6 linked regions of the Oryctolagus cuniculus genome follow. The protein of the gene in region 1 interacts with the protein of each later gene in a pairwise test. Links are inferred from orthologs where the notes say so. Each region holds a gene or a part of one and is shown in the gene's direction. Other genes may lie near its edges. The genes, in order: PACSIN1, EHBP1, COBL, COBLL1, JADE2 and ANKRD24.

Region 1 (3,500 bases):
GGGCATTTTTGAGGCTGGACAAGAGGGCAGCCAGAGGGCATCTATGGGGCCCGGACCTGAGAGCTGAGCAGGCGCCGAGCCTGGGCCAAAGGTGGGAGGGGCCGCTGTCAGCCTCCCGGGGCGCTTAGGTCCCGGCTCCGTCAGGCCTCAGGGGCTGAGACCAGGGCCTCTGCGATGGTTTGGGCCTAGGAGTGAGCACAGGGACCTGGAAGGGTCTTTTGGGCCTGGTGCAGGGCTCTGGCTGGGGCATGGATGGGGACGGGGGCAGGGGGTGGGTAGGAGCCCCCCAGAGCACAGCAGCCGTCTGAGGGGGCAGAGTTGCAAGGCCAGCTAGAGTGTTGGTCTGGGGACTGTGTGCGGGGCATGCACATGGCGAGGCCCCGACTGCTGGCTCCTGGGAGCTGTGTGTGTCTGCCGAGCGCACATGGGCAAGTGCGTGGTCCTTGCTTCTGACTCCGAGGGTCCAGGAGCCATGAACCGTTCTAGGGGTAGGGGCCGGCCCTGGGAGGAGGCACCTGGGGGGCGGGTATGGAGGAGAGATGGGGAGGTGCGCGCAGTGTGCTACAGAGGAGCCTTGGCAGCCTCGAGGTGGCGAGCAGGAAGCCAGCCCCGGCTCCAGCGCAGGGCCCTCCGTGGAGGCCCCCTCGCACAGCAGGCCTGGACTGGAGCATGGGGGCACAGCCTCACCTCCAGGGGTCTCTCCCCTGCCCTTCCAGCCCATGAGCAGCTGAGCCTCCAGACTGCAGCCCCACTCCTGTCCGCCCCCACGGCCACACCATGTCCGGCTCCTACGACGAGGCGTCGCTGGCTCCGGAGGAGACCACCGACAGCTTCTGGGAGGTGAGGCTTTGAGGGTCCCCAGGTCCTGAGGCTCCCGCATACCCCCCACTTGCCCTGTGAGCTCGTGCCTTCTGCCCCAGCCCCCCGGGCCCCTCCAGAGCCACGAGGTGGGGGTAGGATACTCTGCACGCAGAGGGGTGCTGTGGCATTTCCCCCGTGCAGGCAGCCCCCTCCTCACCGTGTCCAGAGGGCCCTGGTGCAGATCCGGGGGCTTCACAGCTTACGCTGCCCCTCACCCCGTGCCGTGGACACACAGAGGTGGAGTGAGCTCTCAGGGCCCCACAGCCAGAAACCCAACACAAAAACTGCGAAGCTAAATGAATACGTGCTTAATGAGACGTCTGCGGAACACGTCACGAAGCCTTGGCTCGACTCGATGCTCAGATGAGTCCATGTAATACAATGGATGGAGCTCACGAGAGCCACATCAATCATTCCTCCCGGGCCAAGTTCAAATTCTAAGTCTCCCTCTCATTTTGTAGCAGCGGAGGAATTGTGTTTCAAGTGGGATGCGGGTGCGTGGAGGTGGTGAGGTCTAAAGCGCGCGGGTGCCCGGGGCCTCCCCCAGTTAAAGGGCCCCGGGGCCCCCTTGCGTGGTGCGCGGGAGGCGGCCGGCCGTGGCGGCGCCCCCTGCAGGACGCGGCGGCCAGGGCGGCCGGGCCGCGCCGCGCCGGGTCGGGGAGGCAGCGAGAGTGACGCCGGTGCTCGGCCGCCAGGTGGGGAACTACAAGCGGACGGTGAAGCGCATCGACGACGGCCACCGCCTGTGCAACGACCTGATGAGCTGCGTGCAGGAGCGCGCCAAGATCGAGAAGGCCTACGCGCAGCAGCTCACCGACTGGGCCAAGCGCTGGCGCCAGCTCCTGGAGAAAGGTGCCCCCCCCCGCACCTCACCCCTGCCCACCCACCATCCCCGTGCACCCCCACGCATCTCTGCTTCCAACAACCTGAGGTTGCATTAAAAGAACAAAAGGCCAAAGAAAGACCCCTTTTTTATTTAGAAATAATTTTTAAATGCCGAGAAAAGCTGCAAGGGCTGCACAGACACCCCCACCCCGCGACCCTCACCCATTCCCATTTATTTCTCCACTGTCTGGCCACTGACAGGCACTGTATTTTTCTGAGCCATTTGAAAGTTGGAGCCACCAACCCCTCCTTCACCCCTAAATTCTTGTGTCCCTTAAGAACAGGGGTTGGTGTAACCATGGGTCAGCTATCCAATCCAGAGTGTCTAGCAGGGCCCTTGCGCAGTTTTACGATGGCAGTGGTTTGTGCCAGCCCAGCACCCACTCCGGAATCGCACACGAATGGCTGGCAGGTCTCTACATCCAGAACCGCCGACTAGACGCCAAACCCCACGAGGGCAGGGGCTGGGCCCGTGTTGCCTCACACAGTGCCTGGCATGGAGCTGGCCCCCTGCACCTGTCCCCAGCAGGTTCTTGGGTTGTACGTTCAGCCAGCATTCCCGGGAGCTCCTGCTGTGGGCCTGGAGCTGTGCTGGGTTTGTGAAGGCTCAGGGGGTCCATCCAGGCCACCCAGCCGACGCGGGAGGCAAGGACTAGGCACAGAGGGAGGCGTGTGCGGGCAGAGCACTCCGAGCAGGCTCCCTGCAGATGGTAGGGTCCTGGGGCCCTAGAGGATGGACAGAAACACAGGGATTGCAGGGGAGGGCACCTGTGCTGCCATGGGAAGGAAGGGGCACGCGTCTGAGGAGCAGGCAGGAGGGCGCCCCTGGGACGGGGCATAGAGGGCCCTGACCCGCGGCCGCTTGCTCAGGCCCACAGTACGGCAGCCTGGAGCGGGCCTGGGGTGCCATGATGACCGAGGCAGACAAGGTGAGTGAGCTGCACCAGGAGGTGAAGAACAGCCTGCTGAACGAGGACCTGGAGAAGGTCAAGAACTGGCAGAAGGACGCCTACCACAAGCAGATCATGGGTGGCTTCAAGGAGACCAAGGAGGCCGAGGACGGCTTCCGCAAGGCCCAGAAACCCTGGGCCAAGAAGATGAAGGAGGTGCGATGGGCGCTGGTGGCGGAGGCGGAAGGGGCGGTCTGAACCGAGGGGGCTGCTCCCAGGGAGGGGTCTATGGGTGGGGTGGGCGGTCCACCGCCCTCTGCTGGGAAAAAAGACCCACAGCTGGGCAGACAGTGCCCAGTGAAAGGTAAAGAGCCATGGGCCAAGGGCACACTAGGGGGCACAGCAGAGGGCTGACCCTGCACCACCTTCAGGAGGGTCTCCCACGCTGGGAGCGCGCCAGGGCTGGGGGCCCTGCGCCCACATCCCTGCAGCCAGGGCCGGCCTCCTCTGTCTCAGGGCTCCTGGGGAGCCGGCAGGCAGGAGCAGTCGATGGGCGACCATGTTTGTTCCTGCTCCCAAACGGGCCCCTGCCCGCCCTGTCCCCCTCTCGCCACAGCTGGAGGCAGCCAAGAAGGCCTACCATTTGGCCTGCAAGGAGGAGAAGCTGGCCATGACGCGCGAGATGAACAGTAAGACGGAGCAGTCGGTGACCCCGGAGCAGCAGAAGAAGCTGCAGGACAAAGTGGACAAGTGCAAGCAGGATGTGCAGAAGGTGCCGGCCGGGCTGCGGGTGGTGGGCGCAGGGGGTGGGGGCTAGGGGCTGCAAGCCTGGCCAGGTCTCATCTCCCGCCCCCGGTGCCCGCA
Region 2 (3,500 bases), on another chromosome or scaffold:
TTCCCAGGCCATAGCAGAGAGCTGCATTGGAAATGGAGCAGCCTGGTCTTGTACCAGTGGCTGTATGGGATGCTGGCGCTGTAGACCAGGGCTTTAACCTGCTGCACCACAGCAGCAGCCCCAAATACCAATTTCTTTTCACCAAAGTAAATTCATCTTTTAATTCCATTTTCTACAAACTTCTTGAAGTCTCCTCATATATAACATAGAGGCATAGGTTTAAGAATTCTGCATGTGTATAGTCTGATTAGTTATTTCAAAATCCTAATGTCCTTTTCTTCTTTCTTTTGAAATATAATATTTTGTGATATCACTTAAAATTGATAGCCTATACATATAAATACATCTACTCTGTTATTCATGGTATTTGTATATTTAACAGAACAAAATAGTAAGCTGGTGGACTTGAAGCTAAAGAAGCTCCTAGAAGCTCAGCCACAGGTGGCAAATTCATTCTCCAGTGCTGCCCAGAAAGCTGTAACTGAGACCTCGGATCAAGACATTAAGGTAAATCTGACTTTTAAAAACATTTAGCTCCATATCTTTATATTCTACTTTCTGCTAGCCCTTTATAATCCTAAAAAGTTTCACCCTAATTCTTTGCATTAAAATTAAGATGTAAAACTTTTTATTAAATAACCAATAATTAAATATCAATATGGCAGTCAGTATTCATTTGCTATTTTTCAAAGAAACCACTATGTCAGAGTGCTAGTTTGAGTAAAAGCAGAGGGTTTGTAGAAACTATTATTGAAGTCTGTGTATATTGTATATTTTGCCAAGAAGAATATTGCTAAGCAAACTCTAGCATTTTTCCATCGTCCTTATCCTTCTACCTGTTTAGATGAACTAGAATGGCTGTAATTTTCACAAAAACATCATACCTAAAGATGGTGACATGATTAAATACAAATGTTTAAGATACTTCCATGTGTTCTGTATCATTATGAATCTTACCTTATTTATCATTATAGCAAAAATGCTACATTATGAGATTGTTTTATATTATCCCCACCACCACCACCACATACTCCCCCGTCCTTTCTACACCGTGTAGCATTTAGTATTTCTCTAGCTTTAGGGCACTTCCAGTCCTGTATAACTTTTCACCCACCTGCGGACTATGGGGACTGCCCTGCTGACTGAAAGGATTTCCTTCCCCTGACACAGAGATGCTTTGAAGTCTCAAAACAATGACTTTCATTGCTTTTCCCGTATATTGTCGGTTTCTATAAATTGGTGATGAAAGTGTGTGGCAGCACCAGAGGACTTTGGGTCTCTATCTTTGAACAAAAGGAAGCCTGGATCAGGTCTGGTTTTTTGCGTTCAATTTAGCTTTCTGCAGTGGATTTAATGCAGAATGAAGCTGGCCTAAGAATAATACAATGGATTGAAAAGGCTAACTGAATTAGTGGGTTTAGAGGAATACATTTGTAAAGTGGCAGAAGTCCCTAGTCATAAAAAGGTTTCTTAAGATGGGATTTGCTGGCTAATCACACTGATATTTTAGCATGTTGCCAGGCCTAAAAAAAAATTTAGCCATGTTTGTTTATTTTGGTAGACTTGAGTTTTAGACTGTTAGATAGTTATTATAATAATAGTAGAATTCACACTTTTTTTTAAAAAAAGATGTTTCTTTCTCAACTACATAGCTAGTATATTATAAGAATGACGTTGATGATATATGTGTGTGTGCATGTGTATGTCAGATAACTAAAAATGAGGTAGTTCCAATATGATTTAATCACTTATCTAGATGAAATTGATTTTGCTTCTTTAAAAATCTCCTGTTATAATTTTTAAAGTTATTTCAACAAAATTATGCTTTTAACGGATTGCCTTTGTAGGAATCTTTTCAGTTAAGATTTTGAAAATGCTTATAAAGAACATATAGATTCCATCTGTTCTCTTGAAGCTTTCAGCATTGATTTGGGTTTTTATTTATTTTTTAAATAAAATGCAGTTTACACGTTTATAAATGAGGCATTCTGTGTTTGTGGAAAAGGATAAACTGTTACCTTCCCTTGAGGATTCTGTATCCCAGGCCTCCTTGAGGCTAGAGAATAGGCCATTGGAGGGCTCCCTCATTACTGATTGTCTCAATGCAGAGGAAGGGCAAAGTCTTGGTAGCTTTTGATAACCAGTTTCAGCATTCAGCAGGCTTAGCTATTAGTCATGCATCTTAGCCTTTCCCTATTTACTTTCAAAACACTTAATAAAAATAATAAAAGATTAGGTATAAAATGAAATATTTGTTTGGTACACAGCACCTCGGTATCTGCAGCTTCCACACACTGCAATGGTTCAGTCTTCTGGGATATTTCTTGTTGATAGAACCATTTGAATTTGTTACCAGTATTAACATAGGAAGCTCCGGAAAAGATAATTGTAGTTTCCTTAGCTGTAAAAGGCTTACTTACAAATCTGGCTTTGGAAAGTTATAGCTGATGAAATGCAGTTCAGTGGGGTAGTATTATAATCCTACCTTTTAGCCTTCATCCAGCATTAGTGGTTTATCTCAATGGGCATAAAATTAGAAACTATTTCTTCTTGTCATACAAGTCTGTGGGGCTGTACAAGCTGATGGGGCAGAATAGTAGGGAGAACAGGAGGCAACATAGCTTTTAAAAGATACCAATCACCAGGAGAAGACACAGAGTTTGTACGATCTTGTATCAAAGTTATCAAGAGTTTAAACCATGAGTCCCAAAGTTTTTCATTACAGACAATGGAACTTACAGTTGAGCTATTTGGAAAATCACTTTTCTTTCAGAAAGTTTTTAAATTTCAAAGTCTGCATTGTCTTAAATGTCTTCTGAATGTGTAATTTCACATTTATAAGATCAGGACTCTAGAAGTGTGTATTGTTTTACTTTCAGAATGGCACTGAAGATCTCCGGACTGAACGATTACAAAAAGCAACAGAACGTTTTAGAAATCCTGTTGTGTTCAGCAAGGATTCTACAATCAGAAAAACTCAACTTCAGTCTTTTAGTCAATATGTTGAGAACAGACCAGGTAGGAACACTTTTAAAAAATGTTTTCCCATCTTATGATTCAACAGTTCTTAACAATGTGTATATATTAAAAAGCTGATGCTGTAAATCCATAATTTCAATATATAAATATCAAGCTTTATAATAATTTTACATGTCTTTCTTCTTTTTTTAAGAAATGAAAAGGCAGAGATCAATACAGGAAGATACAAAGAAAGGAAATGAGGAGAAGGCGGCGATAACTGAAACTCAGAGGAAGCCATCAGAAGATGAAGTGCTTAATGTATATTAATTTTTTGTGTGGTTTCATGATTGCTGATAATTCCAAACTGTATGTGGAAATAGTGCCTTTATTTGTTAAAATGAGATGTTAGGTTTTTTAAGATGTCAATCTCCAGTGCATTCAAAGCAGAGTGAGAGGGGTGCACTGTTGAATTAGTCTGCAGTGTGGTGATAATTGTCAGATAAAAAAAAATGAATTTTTCAGAGTTCCACAGCCCCAGC
Region 3 (4,053 bases), on another chromosome or scaffold:
CCCACAGTGGTGTCCACAGCAAGGAGGGCCCCCAGGGCTGGGAGGGCCTCTCAGCCACCCACAGCGGAGGAGGAGCCAGACAGGGTGTCCTCATTTACAGAGCCCGAACTCCACCCCGGCACTGACCAGAGGCCGGCCGTGATCACAAAGCAGACCCGAGTCCAAGGTTCTCGGAGACCACCGTCAGGGCGGCAGAGCAAGGGGGAAGCGGTGGACGCTGTGTGTGGTGAAGGCAGCCTCTCTGGGTTTCTGTGCTATGCTCCATTCACACACCCATATTACCTATTTACACAGGCGCTCATTAATTTTTCTTTATAAACATAAGCACTGTAACACACACAAGGGACCATACACACATGCATGTAAGTGCTTGGGCACCTGGGTGGTGACAGGGGTGGGGACGGAAGCTGAGGGGCTGGCAGAGGCTGGCATGGAGGAGAGGAGCAGAGGTGAAACCCTGGGGGCTGGGCCTGCAGGGGTGGGAGGGCTGGGAGCCAGCCGGTGCACCCCGGGCCTTGCAGCCCTGGCAAGATGTACACTGTGGGTCTGGGCTGGTCTCCGGCCTCCTGTGAAAGCCGGGATCAGAGCCACCAAGGCCCAGGCGGCCCCTGGATATCTGGGCCAATCAGAGGGTCGCTGCCGAGCCTTCTATGCCTGCCACCGACCCCAGGATAGGAACTACCCTTTGTAGAGATCAGAGCCTCCTTGTTGCGGCCGAACCAGCGGGTGTGTGCGGGTGAGGCAGGGCCCACGGGCTGCTGCTTCATAACTGCCGACAGCGTGCCCAGGGACCTTGGGTGCACATCCCCGCCGGGCTCCCGCCGGCAGTCAGGCCATGCTCGGACCAGGGCTCCTGGCTGCATTTCCAACAAACTCCCAGGCGCGCTGACGCCTCTGGGAGCCACTCTACCTACTCACCTGATGCGCGGATAAACAGCGCGGCCCTGGGCGCCCCTGCCCCGCGCCCCATCCTCGAACCCCCACCTGCGGCTGCTCGGCTCTGCTCCCCCCGCGGGACCTCCCCGGACGCCAGGTGGTTCCCCTCTCCTGGCCCCACCCGACCTGGGCCGGGCTACCCCAGAACCCCCTGCCTGGTCCCGAGACAGGGGCAGGACCTCCGCTGCGGCCGCGGGGCCCAGGAGCCTGCAGACCCTCGCCGGGTCGCATGCGGGGAGGGCAGGAGCGCGGCGCGGGCGCGGGCGCGCGCAGGCGGGCGGGGCGGGGGCGGCGCTCCTGGGGGCGCGGCGCGGCGGGCGGGCGGGGCGGGGGCGAGCTCGGCGCACCTGGCTCCCCGCGCTCCCGCCCCGCGCCGCCGCCGCCGCCGGCCCCTCCCCGCACGCCTGGGACGCTCCCAGCCCCTGCCGAGCTCTCTGCCGGCCGCTGTCCTCCGCAGGCCTCGCGTGGGTGGACGATGGGTCAGCGCGGAACAAGTGAATGAGGGCGGCGGCGGCGGCGGCCAGCGCCTGACTCGGCCGGGCCCGAGCTCGCCCGCGCCCCGGCCGGCCCGTACCATGGACGCGCAGCGCGCCTCGGCGGCCAAGCCCCCCACCGGGTAAGCCGCGGGCTTCGGGGGAGCTGGTGCGGGGGGCGTTGTGTACTTTGGGCCCGGGTCGTCGCCCAGGTAACCGTGCCAGGCCCGGCCGGGGCGCGCTCTCCGCAGGGCTGGGTGCGCGCAGGGCCCCCGCCGGCTCCGTGCAGCCCTCACCCCTCCGAGAGTCTGCGCTGAGCGGCTGGGAGGCTGCGGGACAGCGGCCCCTGGCTCCGGCCGCTCCTCCCTGGCCACAGAAGCTGCCCACGGGCCGCTCGTCCCCGCGTGGCGAAGGGGAGGGTCCCGGGACCTCGAGGGCCGCCTCGGCCCCGCGCACTCGGGGTCACCGTGTAGGCGCCTCTGCCGGCGGATCTGCGGGTTTTCCGTGATACCTGCCCCGCGCCCCGGCCTCCGTGCCCTGGGACGGCCGCAGGTGCGAGAGGTGGGGCCGGCCCGAGGTGCGGAGCCCGCTCGAGACCTGCGGGCAGCGCCGCCGTCCCCGCCTCCGCGATTCCGGGGTAGGTTTGCGGCCTTCAGCCGTGGCGTGAAGGGATCCCGCGCCTTGGGCAGGTTTCTCCCCGCACAAGGAGGAACTTCCCCACTGCAGGACGCACAAACGTGCCCTTTAACCGGATCCGCAGCCGTGTGGAGCGGTGCGCCTGGCGCCCAGGCCGCGGGCCCCGCGCAGCCCCGGCGCCCTTGGGTGTCCGCGGCGCGCAGACTTCGGCCCCGGCGCCCTGGGAGTCCTGGCGATGGAACGAGGGGTTGGGGTGGGTCCGGCCCCGCCGGAGCAACTGGCCTTGAAGGGCGCAGCTTCCGGGACAACAGACGTTTCTTTCACAGTTGTGCCCCTCTGACTCACGCTGTCCGCACAAGTGTGCAGGGAGTTTGGGAACTGTCTCTTTTTTAAAAATTCTCCCTTTAATGCCAGGAAAAAGTGAGCCAGGTTAACAAATCAAATAATCCTGACCCTGGAATGCTGAACTTTTTTTTTTTTTTTTGCAGTGCACTTAGCGGTTGTTATGTAATTCTCTTTGAACTAACAAATCCCCACAAAGAACATAAATACAGGAAATCCTTTTTCATGCTAATGGGCATCTCCAAATGTGGGGAAATTCGACAGGGAGTCACCTTTCCTGGATGAAGTGCGCCTATTTCAGGAGCCTGGATTGTTTGTCACTACCCCCTTATAAATAAATATGAGGAGAGTATGTAAGAGGCTGGCAACCTTGTATCCCAGGAGTATGGGTAAAATCCTGACCCCGGCTCTTGCCAGCCCTATGGCAGGAGGGAGAGGGGAGCCCCAGGGCTGCCCTGGGGCCTTCCCCTGGGAGTCCCGTGGGAAAACCAGGCCCTTGCTAGCACCGGCGCCTTCCGCGTCCTCCCTCCGCTCACACTGAGTGTGGAGAAACGTGGGCAGACTCCGCCTCAGTCTCATCCGTCACTTGTCAATACTCCCAGTGAAAGAGCAGCAAGAATATAGAAAATGACGAACGTTTAAGAAGAAAGTCCACGCTCAGTTTTTCGGACAAGTGTGAGTTTCATAACACATGACTTTGTTCAAAGCCTGAGAAGGAAATGGCTCTTGAATGTTTTATATAACGAGCTCGTGCGTGAGTCGCCTGCCATAAAGCACGGGTGTGGCTGTGAGGTTCCTGGCCGCAGCCCCTCATTGGTGGCCGTGGGATCCTGCCAGTGGGTCCTGGGTTTCTGTTTCCCCTCTGTGGATCGGCTCTGCAGTGTGGGGAGAGTGAGGTGGGGGCAGTCTCTCTGGATGGGCTCTGGTGTGGGGAGAGTGAGGTGGGGGCAGTCTCTCTGGATGAGCTCTGCAGTGTGGGGAGAGTGAGGTGGGGGCAGTCTCTCTGGATGGGCTCTGGTGTGGGGAGAGTGAGGTGGGGGCAGTCTCTCTGGATGGGCTCTGCAGTGTGGGGAGAGTGAGGTGGGGGCAGTCTCTCTGGATGGGCTCTGGTGTGGGGAGAGTGAGGTGGGGGCAGTCTCTCTGGATGGGCTCTGCAGTGTGGGGAGAGTGAGGCAGGGTCTGTCCAGGCTCGGGCAGTCTGGTTCCTGGCACCAGGGCAGTGGTACAGTGTCGCGCTCTGCAAGTTGTCCTTGTACCCTGCTGGGGTGCAGGTGCGGTGGCCTTGCTGACGGGGTGGGGGGGGGTGGGGGGGGGTGCAGGTGCGGTGGCCTTGCTGCATAGCATGAATTAAGGAGATTCCTCAGAGCAGAGCTCAGCCTGGGGATTCCTGGAGGCACCAAGGGGCCGCTGCATGTGAATTCCCTGGCTGTGGCTCTGATTAAAACGCTCTTTGTTCAGGACACAAATGCAAATTTTCTTAGGTTTGTGTCGGTGATGTCCTTAAAACAGTGACTGTGACTGGCTTAGGGAGGAGGCTGCGTGTGCAAAAGCCAATGAGTCAGACTTGATTTCACTTTTAGGGAGTCTTAGAGCCCAACCAAAGCGTCGCAATTCATAGAATATTCTAGAACACCAAGACAATGGCCTTTGGGTGAAGTTTTAAAAT
Region 4 (4,074 bases), on another chromosome or scaffold:
ATTAAAGTTTTAGTCTTGATCCTGTGATTGAAAGTTATAGACATTAAGTAGTTTCACTGTTACTCAACATTTGCATCATTGTGCAAGCAACTGTAAACGCTACTCATTTAGAGGCATAAATGATTCATGAAATTGTTTAACTTGAGTTATTGTTTCAAGATTAAAATCCAGAGGCATTTAAGTGAACTGCTTTGATAATATTACTTATTTAAAAGGAGGTTTTCATGATATGGTTCCAAAGTGTAATGCAGATAAGCCACATTTTTTCTTCCCATAGATGCACTGAAAAGACGGCACTCCACACTGAAAGCAACAAACACCAATGCTTCCCTATAGGCAAACGGCCTATTACTAGATACTTAAACTAAATTTCTGCAATCCGGTTGCTACGATAAACAACTACAGAAATACCTAGTTAAGCATTAGTTCTAAATATCAATTTAATTCTAATACTCAGCAAATGTTACCCCACAAAGATGAAGTGGCTAACAGATTTTGTTGCTTGATGTTAATACTATAGCAGAGGTTCTTCTCTCCCTTAGATACTCCTTCCTATAAGACCTATCAGTTGATTCCAAAAGATTTTATTTTTAGACTGTAGGTTTTAAGTTATCTGGTTAAGTCACCTGCTTAATTTCACATTTTCTGAAAGCAGGCATTTGGATCCTCCGAAATAGCTTGTACCTTAAAACAACTGGCACTGATGAGAATCTCAATGAGATCTGCAAATATACCTGTTTGTCAGGTGTAGCGAATCATCTAAACAGTATGCACGTGGGACACAAGCACAGGGCTGTCCCTACATGATTCTTCTATTCCTGTAAAACTTTCAAGAGGTGAATGCATAAGCCCCAGCATTCAACTCCAGGTTTATGGATTGTTATCAGATGTAATAATGCCCAGTCCTCACGTCACAACTGTTGTTGGTCTGCATAAAGAAAGTAAGAAATGCTTCCGAAGACAAGGCAAGCTCAAACCTGCTGCCGATTAGAAAGATCAGTGTCACAGGTACGCTTTTCACAATCATTCGTAGAGGTCACGTTAAGAAGCACACACACAAAAAGCCCCAGTCCTGGTTGTCGAAGGTCAGACTGCAGGCCAGGCAAGCTTGCAGGCCGGGTTCTACGAGTTTCTCTTCGCACTTCCGCAGCCGGCCGGTCCTCCCCAGGCAGGTACCCCTCCTGCCCCACCTGTCCGGTATGGGCGCGCCCGGCTTCCCGCAGCCCAGGCCCTAGCGGTGGGAACGGGAACATTCCGGCAGGGAGCTAGCTACCTTTCCGCTTGGCTTCCCTAGCCGGTCCCCAAAGACCCGAAACCCTGGGGAAGGAAATTCCAACTCGCTCCCCGCCCGCCCCCTCCCCGGTCCTCTCTCCGGCTGGCTGCCTCGCTCGCTCCGATGCCGCCGAGCTGGTCCTCACTTCTGGGCGGCCGGGCGGCTGGTTCCCGAGCTCGGGCCAGAGCATGGGGCAGGGTGAGTGCGCGGCCGGGGAGAAGCCCGCGGGACCGAGCTCCGGGGAGCGCTGGCTCTCTCTGTCCAAGTCCTGGATTGAGAGCTAAGCTGCCAGGGCGCAGGCCGGGGGCGGGAAGAGGAGGAGAGGAAGCTGCGAGAGAGAACAGGCGAGCCACTGTCTCCCTTTGAAAAGAAAGTAGGAGTCCTGGGTGGGAAAAGAGAGATTCGCCCTTCCAACTTCTCCTCGGGAGAACTTTTACCAGGGCATTGTGTTTGTTCCAACTCGGCCGTTGGAGCCCCGGGTGCGCTGCCGGCGTGGCGGCCGTGCCTGCGCGCCCGGCACCGCTCCTCCTCCACCTCCTCCTCCGGCAGCCGGGGCAGCTCCACTCCCTCCCCGAGAGGCGCCAACTGGCTACCCAGTAAACCCCACGGGGCGGGGGCTGCAGCGCCGCCTCCCGCCGCTGCCGCTGGAGCCCGCTAGAACCTGCCGCCACGGCGGCAGCGGCGGCGCCCGCGGGCACCCAGCCGGACCCGCAGGTGGAAGCGCACCCGGGAGGCGGGCCGGCCGGACGCTCACGCGGACCGGGCGGGCTCTCGACGCGCGGCCGGCCCCGGGAAGGCGCGCGGCCCGCCCTGACCTCCCGCCTCTCCCACCCCAGCAGTGACGCGCCGCCTCCGAGCTGGAGCCCGCGCAGCGCCGCGCAGGGCGATGGACGGCCGAGCCCCCAGCGCGCACGACGCCCCGGCGGCGCCCCCGACGCCCGCCGCCGCCGCCTCAGGGTAAGCCCCGAGCGCCGCGCCGCCGTTCGCCCGCGAGGGCACCGACGCCTCGCCGGCTTCACCTGCCTGGCGACTCGCTGCTCTGCCAGCGGCCTGACTCCCCGGCCGTCCTACACGCGGCCGGCGAGGCGGCGTCCTCCCGGCCTTGCCGGAGGCCGCCCGGGCCGGGGGCTCGGGCAGTGTTGGACGGCTTTGCCACTGGGGCTGCACTGGTTGCGGAAGGCCAGCTGGTTGCCAGGGATTGGGTGAGGAGTACGGGAGCAAAGACTATAACAAAGAGCCCCTTGTTGGAGCTCTTGGAGCGGTGGACGATACCTGTAAGCGAGCTCCCTAGAAAGGAAGAGAGAGGGAAAAAAGTTTCCTTGTTCAAGGGCAGGGGCCTGGGCGGTGGAGCGGTGTCGAGGAGACTGTTAGGAAGGGGCTTTCGGAGGGCGTCGCGAAGGTGCGCCAGCTGTCAGCCCGCCTGACAGTTCCGGGAGCGGGCGGGGTGCTCGCCTCTCTCTCGGGGGTGTGTGCGCCCGTGGCCAATTGCGGGTGCCAAAGCCGAGCGCGGAGGCAGATTGCAATCAACTATTCTTCTCACATGTTTTGAGGAGAGATTGGAGGGGAAGGGGCCCGTCACATGGTGAGTTAATATTAAATGAAGCATGCCTTCCTGCCAGATATGCTAATCATCACCTTGCCCAGCAGTTGGGTAAACAGGCCGGAGAACAGGTAGTTCTGCAGGAGATGAGGAGAACTGAAAATAACCCTGGTCTTGGTCAATAGCGCAGGCGTAGCAGGCAAGCCCGTTGGGCTTCTGAAGCGGGAAACCCTTTTGATTCCTGTAACTTTTTCCTACAAGTGTTCCCGCTACCCAGATGTCCGTTCTTTCTTAATCTGAACGTAGGAGCGTCCTGATGAGAAGATGAACATTCGAGAAATACAAACGTGGAGGAAAGAAAATATCTGCTTTGTAACACCGAGGAATGAGAGTTGTGCAGTTTTTCTGACCGAATAGTGAAGTCAGTTTTCCCTGGAACATGACAGGCGTTTCCTTAGAAGCAAGTCACAGCATGTTTGTTCATCAGAGACCATGCGAACACTAGCAGTTGTAGAGAAGAAACATGGAAAAGTCTCAAAGCAACATGACTAAGCTAAAAGACATTTGTATAGTGCTTACGTAGAGGGAACATGTCGCGTATGAATTAATTCTTTCATTTTGCTGCAGTTGGCTGTCTTCTTCCTGCAAATAGCCCTATTGCTGTCGACTTCTGTCTCATTTCCCTAGCTTTCTCATTGTGTGGATATTGTCATAGATCCTCACATTAGGATATCCGAGGAAAGAAACACATTGGGAGACATAATGAGTATGAAAGCAAGGTCTTTGGAGCTGCAGAGCTGTGTAAGTTGAAGATGGACCAGCTTTCAGAGTACTGAAATGTATCCAGGTAGCACAAAACAAGATAGTATTGAACTGGTGGATTTGGAATGGATTAGGTTAAGGTACTGAAAAAAAAAAAAACCCACTTAGGGGGTTGGCACTCCACTTCCAGTCCATTTCTATGTTAACCTGGGAAAGCAGCAGAAGAGATGACCCAAGTGCTTGGACCCCAGCACCCACGCGGGAAACTTAGATGAAGCTCCTGACTTAAGCTGTTGGGGCCATCTGGGGAGTGAACAAGTAGATGGAATATTTCTGTATCTGTGTGTCTCTCTCTGTAACTCTGCCTTCCAAATAAATCTTTAAAAACAAACCTACCCACTTACACAAAAATATCCCCACAGGTGTCCAGAAATTGAGTTAATACTTTTTAAATTTTTTTAAAGATTTATTTACTTGAAAGAGTTAGAGAGAGAGAGAA
Region 5 (4,214 bases), on another chromosome or scaffold:
TCCCCTCCCCATGCGGGAGGCCGGCCCTGCCCCTTCCTCGAGAGAAAGGTGAGCGCGGCGGGCGCAGCGGGCAGGGTGGGTGTGGCCCGCGACTCCGGGAACGCACCCAAGGCCCGGCCACCGCCGGCGAGCCGCCTGGCGAGCCCAGGCTCCTCTTCCAGAAACTGCGAGGATCCGAGCGCACTGTTTGTGCACCACAAGGTCAAGTCGGGAAGTGGAGCCGGAGGAGGAGGGGCGCGGCGGCGCAGGGTGGGGAGAGGGGCGCCCCGCCGCCTCGCCAAGTGCCAGCCCCTGGAAGTTGCCCCTCGGTTTTTAACCCCTTCGGTGGAGCGGGAGGCACAAGCAGGGGGGGCTGCTCCGGGGCAAACTCCTGCCGGGGGCCGGGACGCGCACCCACCCACCCACCACCGCGTTCCCCGCCCCCCGGAAATGCGGGGCAGCGCCGGGCGCCAGGAGGCACCCGAGAGGGGGGAGGGGGCGCCGAGCCCGCGAGGGACCCTTACTGCGGACCGCCCCCGTCCCCCGGAGGTCGCCCACGAGCTCCAGTGTCCCCCGCCCGGGACGTTAGTTTCCATTTGGCGTGGGTGCGGGCGAGGGGGGGGAGGGCCGCGCCCCCTCCCCCAGAGTCGTGCGCGCCCCTCCCCTCCGCTCCAGCCAGCACTTTCTGCTCACTTCTGGCGCTGCGAAACGCCACGCGATTTATGTGATTCGCGTTTTAAAACCGGCGATTCAGAGACAGGGCCGCGGGCGAGGGTCTCCCGGCGCCGGAGCCCCGGGGGGCGGGGTGCTGTGCGAGTCTCGTTCCGTCCGCGAGTGTCGCCTCCAGGCTGTTATTTGCAAAGAAACGTCTTTTTGACGCAGGGAGAAATGGCAAATTTTAAGTACGTCATTAATATGGCGCCAAAAGATTTTTTTAAGTATAAGCTTTTTTTTTTTTTTTAGGGTTGCGGGGGGCGCCGCCCGGGTCTCGGGCGCGAAGGGGGCGGGGTGTGAGCAGAAAGTGTGAGCGAGAGCGTGGAGGGGCGGGGAACGCGTGTGAGTGTGCGGGGTGTGAGCGGACCTGACGGGACTTGCACGGGCGCAGCCGCCGAACGGGCCCGGCCCCGGGGACAGGGCGGGCTGGGGGCGCCCCGGAGTCCGCGGGGAGCCGGGGCCCGGCGCGCGGGCGGCCAGGGCGCGCGCCCCCGGGGCCCGCAGCGCTACCTGGACCCGCCGCGGAGCCCAGCAACTGGGCGGGGGGCGGGGGGCGGCGGCGGGGGTGTTGGGAGCGGAGATCCGAGCGCAGAAGAAAAAAGTGGCTACTCCCCCTCTCTCGCTCCTCCTGCCCGCCCCCACCCCACCCCCACCCCAACACATTTTTTTTTTCTAAAGAGATCACAAGGAAGTCTTGGTTTAAAAAGAAACAGAAACATACACAGGGGGTTGGTGAATGGTGCCGACCGCGGCCATCGCAGTTGGAGGGTATTTTTGGGGGGGCCGAGTAGCGTCCATGGAGTTACTTTGCACTCACTCCTAGCGGCGCCGGCTCGGGTCCGGCGGGCTGCCCGTCCCCGGCAGGGCCGAGGGGCCGGGGACGCCGCGGGCCCGGCCGCCTCCCTCGCCGCGACCCCGGATGGATGCGCGCCCCCCGCCCTCCCGCGCCGGCCCCGGGAGCTCCTGGTTTCGGGAGCATCGTTCCCGCACCGGTCCCCGCTGCGGCGCGTAGCCGAGGGCAGCGCCCCTCGGGAGGGCACCGCGCAGCAAGGTAAGCAGCAGCCCCCGGCGGATGGGCCCTGCGCATCTCCACGGCGTTATTTTGTGTTTTTGCAACAGATCTGCCAGCGCTCCTCGCTCGCTCTTGCTCGCTCGCTCCCTCTCTCTCCTGCTGGCTGCCTGTTCTAGGAAGCCAGCGCGCGCGCGGGGGGGGGGGGGATGCACAGCACAGGGGAGAGAGATTGCGCATGTTGGTCAGTCGTGTTTTAAGAGTACAGTGCGGGGAGGCTGGCGGGGGCGCATGCAGCAACAACTTTTGGAAGGGTGAGCCTGGCGACCTCCTTTATTAATGACTGCGGCAAAGCGCCCCCGGGCCGGCGAGGGGGCGCGGGCGGGCGGGGGCGCGCCGGGGCCGCAACTTGCCCCGCGGGCTCCGGCCGGGCGGAGGGGCTGCGGCGCGAGCAGGGCGCGGGGAGGCGGGGGGAGAGGTCGCGCGGCCGCGGGCGGGGGCGCGCAGGACCCGGAGCCAGCTGCCCTCCTGTCGCCCCGAGTTTCATTTTGTTGATACGCAGCACGTCCGGGCGCCGAACCGGGCTGAGCCGGTGCACATGACCCCGCGCTGGGCTCACGTGCAGCCGGTCGGGTCCCAGACACCTTCCGGGGGCCGCCGCCTCCGCCCTGTCGCCCCCTCTCCGGGCTGGGTGCGCGCGGGCGCTGCACGCGGGGGCAGCATGCTCGGCTCCTGGGCTCGGAGGCTCCGCACAAATTAGACACAGTTTTTTTTTTTTTGGAGGGGCGGGGGCCGCCCTTGCCAGGTGAGTGGGGAGGACGCGCAGCCCCCGCCGCCCGGGGCGCGGGCTGGGGTCGGGGGCATCCCCCGCTGCGGGGCCGCGCGGGAGTCCGGCGGGGGTGAGGCGCTGGGCGAGTGGAAATGTACCGGCGGCGGCCGGAGCGGCGGGTGCGCGCCCGCGGGGCGACGGCAGGGGGCGTGGCCCTTGTTTACCTTCTCCCAACTCTGCCGGTTCGCGTCCCGCCCCGGGAACGGCTCCGCAGACCCCGGCCCGCCGCCTCCGCCCCTGCGCCCTGGGGGTGGGGGTGCAGGGAAGACGCGGGCGAGTGTGGGCCCTTGCCCGGGACGCGCACACCTGACGCCCCGGGGAGTGACACGATAGCCCCCGCCCCCACCAAGCGCTGCTGCAGTCCCTCGGCCCGGATCCCCGGCGCCGCCCCGCCCCCGGCAGTGGCATCTTCCCGGCCTCACCTCCTTCCTCCCGCTCCCTCCCTGCTTCCCACCCACTCGCCTGCGCCTGCGGAGCGGCTCCCGCCCGCCGCTTCCCCGCCCGGGTGCAGGCTCGTGGTTCCCCCAGGTCCCTTCCCGCCCATCCTCGGGTCCCGAGACGCCCTCTTCTCCCGACCCGGGGAGGAAGGGGCCGGCTCGGTCGGAGCATAAGGATGCCTGCGAGACGGGCGGCAAGGCTTCCCCCTCCTCGCCTCCAGAGGCCCAGCCCCCCCCAATCCTATTCCCCCTTCCCACCCCCCAGGGGCTCGGCCGTCCGGGCCCCCGCCCCGCCCCGGGCATCCAGCCCACCCACCTCCCGGCGCCGCCCCCGGCCCGAACCGCCTCCTGCTCTTCCTTGGCCTGGGCCGGAGCCCCCCGCAGCCACCTCCGGCTCCTCCTCCCGGCTCCCGCGGTCGGAATCACGCCGGCGCGCCTCCAGCCTGCGGTCCCGCGGCTGGCCTCCAGGGGCGGGCTGGAGGCGCGTCAGGCCGCTGCAGCCGGCCCGGGCACTTTCTCACCAGCGTGGCTGCAGGCCGCGTGCAGGGGGCTGCAGGCGGGGGAGGGACTCCAGGCCCTGTACCCCGAGCCCGGGGCTCCGCTGCGGCCGGACCTCTGGGCCTCTGCAGTTTCCCGGACCTCGCGCCGGCACCTGGCGCCCCGGGCTGAGGGCTGGGCTCATCAGCGCGGTTCCGAGGCACGAAGTTTTTTTTGTCCCGGGGTAGTTTGCAGGGAGATCGTGGAAGGCATTGCTCGGGATCCAGAGCGGGGCCAGAGGAGCCAGGGAGGCACTGGGGCGGCGGCGGGAGGGAAACTGTGTCCTTGCTTTGGTTGGAACCAGGAGGATCCCTGATACGTGCTCCCAGAGAAGCAGCCCGCCAGTATTCCCCCCCTTAACATGAAAACCCAGGCCTGGGCCCCTCCTCCCAGAGTGGCAGTCTGTCCCCCCTTCCCTGGTATGATTCCCAGTAACGGGGAACTGCCAGTCCGCCTGGCCCTGCTTCTTCCTGGGTTCCTAGGGTGCCTCCAGCTTGTCTCCTGTCCCGTGGTCCAGAGGCCGGTTGGCACAGCCAGAGGAGGCAGATCACAACAGAATCCGGGGAAGGGATGAGTAATAAGCCAACCCGGCCAGGGAGGAAGGCTTTCTGTTTGAGAGATGCTGTTTGCCTTTGGGGTCACAGGCAGCAAAAACAGGCTTTGATCCGAAGAGGGCGAATAATTGACCGAGGAAGTTTGCTTGGTGGGG
Region 6 (3,833 bases), on another chromosome or scaffold:
GAGCAGGGACCACGGGGCGTCGACCGAGCTCTGGACTTGGTCCCTTCCCCCATGCCGCCGGGGCAGGTGCGCAGGTGCGCTGGTGGCCCCCGGGCGCTGCGGTCTCGCCTGGAGCCGCTGGCTCTCGGCCGTAGGTCGCTGTCCAGGGAGGGTCTCTGGGGTCCCTGGAGTGTCTTACCATGCTCAGATTTCTGCCTAGTTTTATCTGAAAAGGAGAGAGAGAGAGAGAGAGAGAGAGAGAGAGAGAGACCTTCTTCCCACTGGTTGTTCACTCCCCAAATGTCCACCACAGCCGGGGCTGGGTCGGAGCCTGCCGCCCCCAGGTGGGTGACCCGAGCTGTCCCGGGGCTGCCCTCCCGGGAGCTGGAGCCCAGAGTGCAGCCAGCGCCAAAGCCACTTTTTTGCACCCTGTTTGTTTCTCGTCCAGCTCTTTTCTTTTGCAACTCCAATCTGCTCCAGAGACCGCGTTCGCTCGCTTTCTCCCACCACCGCCCGCCCCGGGACACAGGGGGCTGTTGGCGCTTTATATACAAACGGGGAAACTGAGGCAGGGACTGGCTTCCCAGCCCTTGGGCCAGAGAAGCAGGACGGGCCGGCCGGCATGCTCAGGGGGGCGCCAAGCCCTCCCGGGCACTCTGGGTTTGGATGTCCCCTGGCCGGAGCAGAAGCGTCAGAAACTCCCGGGACCGTGATCCCAAGGCGTCACACGGGGGTCCGGGTCGCGGGGGCCCGGGGGTCCGGGTCTCTGAGCGTCACTCGGGGGCCGGGCCGCAGGTGCAGCGGGAAGCCTTGTTCATGAAGAGCGAGCGGCACGCGGCGGAGGCCCAGCTGGCCACAGCGGAGCAGCAGCTGCGAGGGCTGCGCACCGAGGCGGAGAAGGCGCGGCAGGCCCAGAGCCGCGCCCAGGAGGCCCTGGACAAGGCCAAGGACAAGGACAAGAAGGTGGGCGTCCTCTCCCTCGCTCGGGCGCGGGGTGAGGGGCCCTGCTGGGGGTCCCGGACACCACCCAGTGTCCCACTGTGGCACCGTGACGTGGATCGAGCGCCGACTGTGTACCGTCGGCCGTGGGTTGGTGCCAGGTTCTCCCCAGACCCCCACCCCCCGTCCCGTGTGGAGGCCTGAGCACAGAGAGGTTGGCCTCTTGCCCAAGGGTGCACAGCATGCGCTGCTCCCAGCAGGTTGGTTTCTGCTTTTGTTTTTCAAGATTTATTTATCAGGGGCCGGCGCTGTGGCGTAGAATGGTACGTGTGCTCCCTGCTCCAGCGCCGGCATCCCACGTGGGCGCCGGTTCGAGTCCCGGCTGCTCCACTTCCGGTTCAGCTCTCTGCTGTGGCCTGGGAAAGCAGTGGACGATGGACCAAGTGCTGGGGACCCTGCACCTGCGTGGGAGACCCGGAGGAAGCTCCTGGCTCCACCCTGGCTGTCGCGGCCATCTGGGGAGTGAACCAGCAGATGGAAGACCTCTCTCTCTCTCTCTCTCTCTCTTCCTCTCTAATTCTTTCAAATAAATGAATAAATCTTTTAAAAAAATTATCAGTTATTTGAAAGTCAGAGTTACAGTAATAGGGAGAGAGAGAGAGAGAGAGAGGTCTTCCATCCGCTGGGTCACTCCCCAGATGGCCACAATGGCCTGGGCTGACCCAGGCTGGAGCCAGGAGCTTCCTCCGGGTCTCCCACGCGGGTGCAGGGGCCCAAGGACTTGGACCAGCATCCACTGCTTTCCCAGGCCACAACAGGGAAACGTGGAGCAGCCAGGACTCGAACCGGCGTCCATAGGGGAGGCTTAACCCGCGGAGCCACAGCGCCGCCCCCAGGTTCTGTTCTTAAATGATGCGGGCGACAGCGACCTCTAGCGGTGACGTCAGGCATTTTCATGCATTCCTAATTTCCCGCCGTCCTGGGAAGACGCGGGGTCGAAGCCGGGAGCCGGGAGCTCCATCCGGGTCTTCATCCCCATTTCCCAGGTGAGCCAACCGAGGCTCCCGGGGGTGAAGGCAGTGGATCGCGGGCCGCACCCAGCCCCCGGCCCTGACTCTGTGGCCTTGGTCACGTCGTGCGACCTCTGCCCGCGGCCGTGGTTCCTGTCCCGTGGGGGCGGCTCCCCTGGCCCCTGCGGCCGTCCTGGGCTCTGCAGGCCATGGAGCAGCCCCAGCCGTCCCAGACTCCGCCCAGTGTCCCCGGGGGGGGGCACAGCAGTCCCTGATGAAGATCCTGGGATCTGCCGTAGGAACGAGGCCCAGCACTTACTGAGTCCTGCTGTGTGCCCCAGTGCAGGGTGGCGAATCTCCCCCATTTCACAGACGGGGATAGTGAGGCTCGGCGGGACCCCCACCCCCACCCCGTTCCGTGATCAGCTTAGGAAGAGGAACAGCAGGGTGACGCCCCCAGCCCCACTGTGCCGGGCTGCCTGGGGTCCGGGGAGCCCATGGGGGAAGGGGCAAGTGTAGGCGGCCAGAAAGCGCCGGGTTCTCCCACCTGCGGGGCAGACAGCAATGGCTCTGCCGGCGGGAGGCAGCTGGCGTGGCCGCGGCCGGGCCAGGGTGGACGCCAGGAGCCAGCCCTGCGGCTCCGGGCGCCGGCTGACAGCGCCCCCTGCCGGCAGATCACGGAACTCTCCAAGGAGGTCTTCAGTCTCAAGGAGGCGCTGAAGGAGCAGCCGGGCGCCGCCGAGGTGCAGGCTCTGCGCGACCAGGTGGTGGCGCTGCAGCAGCGCCTGCAGGTGCGGGCTGGGCCGCGGGGCGGGGGCGGGGGCGCAAGTCCTCGGGCACCCGGCGCCCCCGCTTCCCTGAGCGGCCTACTCTGTGCCCCACAGGACGCCGCCAGGGACCGCTGTGCCGTGGTGGCCTTGTACAGGAGCCACCTGCTCTACGCCATACAGGTGAGCCCTCCCCGGGCCCGCCGGCCTCTGTGCTCGCTGGGGTTGGGGTGCGGGTGGGGGAGGGGCCGCAGCAGGTGCACCCAGGGCCGCCGGTCCTCTCTGCTCCCTGCTCCTCAGGGTCAGATGGACGAAGACGTCCAGCGAATCCTGAGTCAGATCCTGCAAATGCAGCGGCTGCAGACCCAGGGCCGCTGAGGCTGCGCCCGAGGGGCCGCCCGCCCCCGCCCCCGCCCCCGCCCCCCGCACCCTCACGGGGCCCCTGCCCCCTCCAGGCCGCCCCGCGGGGCCCCTCCCCAACTTTTCTGTAGCTGGCTGCATCGCTCGGAGAATCTGTGACAAGTCCCATCCCCCCCCCCACTGCCAACCCGCCCGTGTCGCCCCTCGTCACGTCCCGGGGACGCCCCTCCCCCGGGAATAAAAATGCACCGTGCACAGCTCCAAGGCTGGTGGCCTGCGTGTGGGAGCCTGGGGGAGGAGCCCCGCCTGGGTCTCCCGCGTGGGGGGGGGGGGCAGGTGCCAAAACTGCGAAGCTGGAGTCAGGAGCTGGGACTCGAACCCAGCACCTCGGTTCCGCCAGGAAGGCGCGCTCAGTCCCCACCTGCCCGGGACAAACCCCGGCTGAAAGCCCGGGGGCCTTCCTGGAGGGGAGGCCCCCTGAGGGTCCAGCCTGGCCTAGCCCCGGGGTTTCCTTGGGTGTCCAGCAGCCGCGAGGCAGGTCCCCGGCTGTCCCCGTCACATCACAACCTCTGTGTGTCGTGCCGGGGCTGCCCCTGCTGGGGCCCGCGTGCCGGTGTCGCTGGGGCCGGCATCTCCGGGGCGGTGAACGGGCGCGTGCCTCTCGCTGCTCTAGGGGTCCCCGCCGTGTTCGTGTGGTCTCTCCCTCTCTTCCTCTCTCTCCCTCCCTCTCTCCCTCCCTCTCTCTCTCTCCCTCCCTCTCCCTCTCTCCCTCCCTCCC

The links.
Region 2: the proteins of PACSIN1 (region 1) and EHBP1 interact in a two-hybrid assay, tested with the Homo sapiens proteins (2 studies listed by BioGRID and IntAct). The link is inferred for Oryctolagus cuniculus from reciprocal best matches to the Homo sapiens genes PACSIN1 and EHBP1.
Region 3: the proteins of PACSIN1 (region 1) and COBL interact in binary tests that used the Homo sapiens proteins (3 or more experiments, as listed by UniProt). The link is inferred for Oryctolagus cuniculus from reciprocal best matches to the Homo sapiens genes PACSIN1 and COBL.
Region 4: the proteins of PACSIN1 (region 1) and COBLL1 interact in binary tests that used the Homo sapiens proteins (3 or more experiments, as listed by UniProt). The link is inferred for Oryctolagus cuniculus from reciprocal best matches to the Homo sapiens genes PACSIN1 and COBLL1.
Region 5: the proteins of PACSIN1 (region 1) and JADE2 interact in a two-hybrid assay, tested with the Homo sapiens proteins (2 studies listed by BioGRID and IntAct). The link is inferred for Oryctolagus cuniculus from reciprocal best matches to the Homo sapiens genes PACSIN1 and JADE2.
Region 6: the proteins of PACSIN1 (region 1) and ANKRD24 interact in a two-hybrid assay, tested with the Homo sapiens proteins (2 studies listed by BioGRID and IntAct). The link is inferred for Oryctolagus cuniculus from reciprocal best matches to the Homo sapiens genes PACSIN1 and ANKRD24.

The regions. Positions count from the first base shown.
Region 1 is NC_091436.1:134,869,669-134,873,168, reverse strand, and holds part of PACSIN1 (protein kinase C and casein kinase substrate in neurons protein 1), read left to right. Parts: intron 1-716; 5' UTR 717-777; coding exon 778-840; intron 841-1,556; coding exon 1,557-1,713; intron 1,714-2,616; coding exon 2,617-2,852; intron 2,853-3,252; coding exon 3,253-3,408; intron 3,409-3,500. UniProt on the Homo sapiens protein: Plays a role in the reorganization of the microtubule cytoskeleton via its interaction with MAPT; this decreases microtubule stability and inhibits MAPT-induced microtubule polymerization.
Region 2 is NC_091433.1:139,946,101-139,949,600, reverse strand, and holds part of EHBP1 (EH domain-binding protein 1), read left to right. Parts: intron 1-382; coding exon 383-507; intron 508-2,879; coding exon 2,880-3,018; intron 3,019-3,172; coding exon 3,173-3,279; intron 3,280-3,500. UniProt on the Homo sapiens protein: May play a role in actin reorganization. Links clathrin-mediated endocytosis to the actin cytoskeleton. May act as Rab effector protein and play a role in vesicle trafficking.
Region 3 is NC_091447.1:55,722,861-55,726,913, reverse strand, and holds the start of COBL (protein cordon-bleu), read left to right. Parts: upstream 1-1,253; 5' UTR 1,254-1,511; coding exon 1,512-1,552; intron 1,553-4,053.
Region 4 is NC_091434.1:76,612,792-76,616,865, forward strand, and holds the start of COBLL1 (cordon-bleu protein-like 1), read left to right. Parts: upstream 1-1,274; 5' UTR 1,275-1,461; coding exon 1,462-1,471; intron 1,472-2,109; coding exon 2,110-2,230; intron 2,231-2,637; exon of another isoform or gene 2,638-2,855; intron 2,856-4,074.
Region 5 is NC_091437.1:22,755,276-22,759,489, forward strand, and holds the start of JADE2 (E3 ubiquitin-protein ligase Jade-2), read left to right. Parts: upstream 1-1,414; 5' UTR 1,415-1,429; coding exon 1,430-1,480; intron 1,481-1,605; exon of another isoform or gene 1,606-1,744; intron 1,745-1,908; exon of another isoform or gene 1,909-2,016; intron 2,017-2,144; exon of another isoform or gene 2,145-2,507; intron 2,508-4,214. UniProt on the Homo sapiens protein: Scaffold subunit of some HBO1 complexes, which have a histone H4 acetyltransferase activity. Acts as an E3 ubiquitin-protein ligase mediating the ubiquitination and subsequent proteasomal degradation of target protein histone demethylase KDM1A.
Region 6 is NC_091447.1:59,707,672-59,711,504, forward strand, and holds the end of ANKRD24 (ankyrin repeat domain-containing protein 24), read left to right. Parts: intron 1-774; coding exon 775-942; intron 943-2,602; coding exon 2,603-2,719; intron 2,720-2,812; coding exon 2,813-2,878; intron 2,879-2,995; coding exon 2,996-3,073; 3' UTR 3,074-3,333; downstream 3,334-3,833. UniProt on the Homo sapiens protein: Component of the stereocilia rootlet in hair cells of inner ear.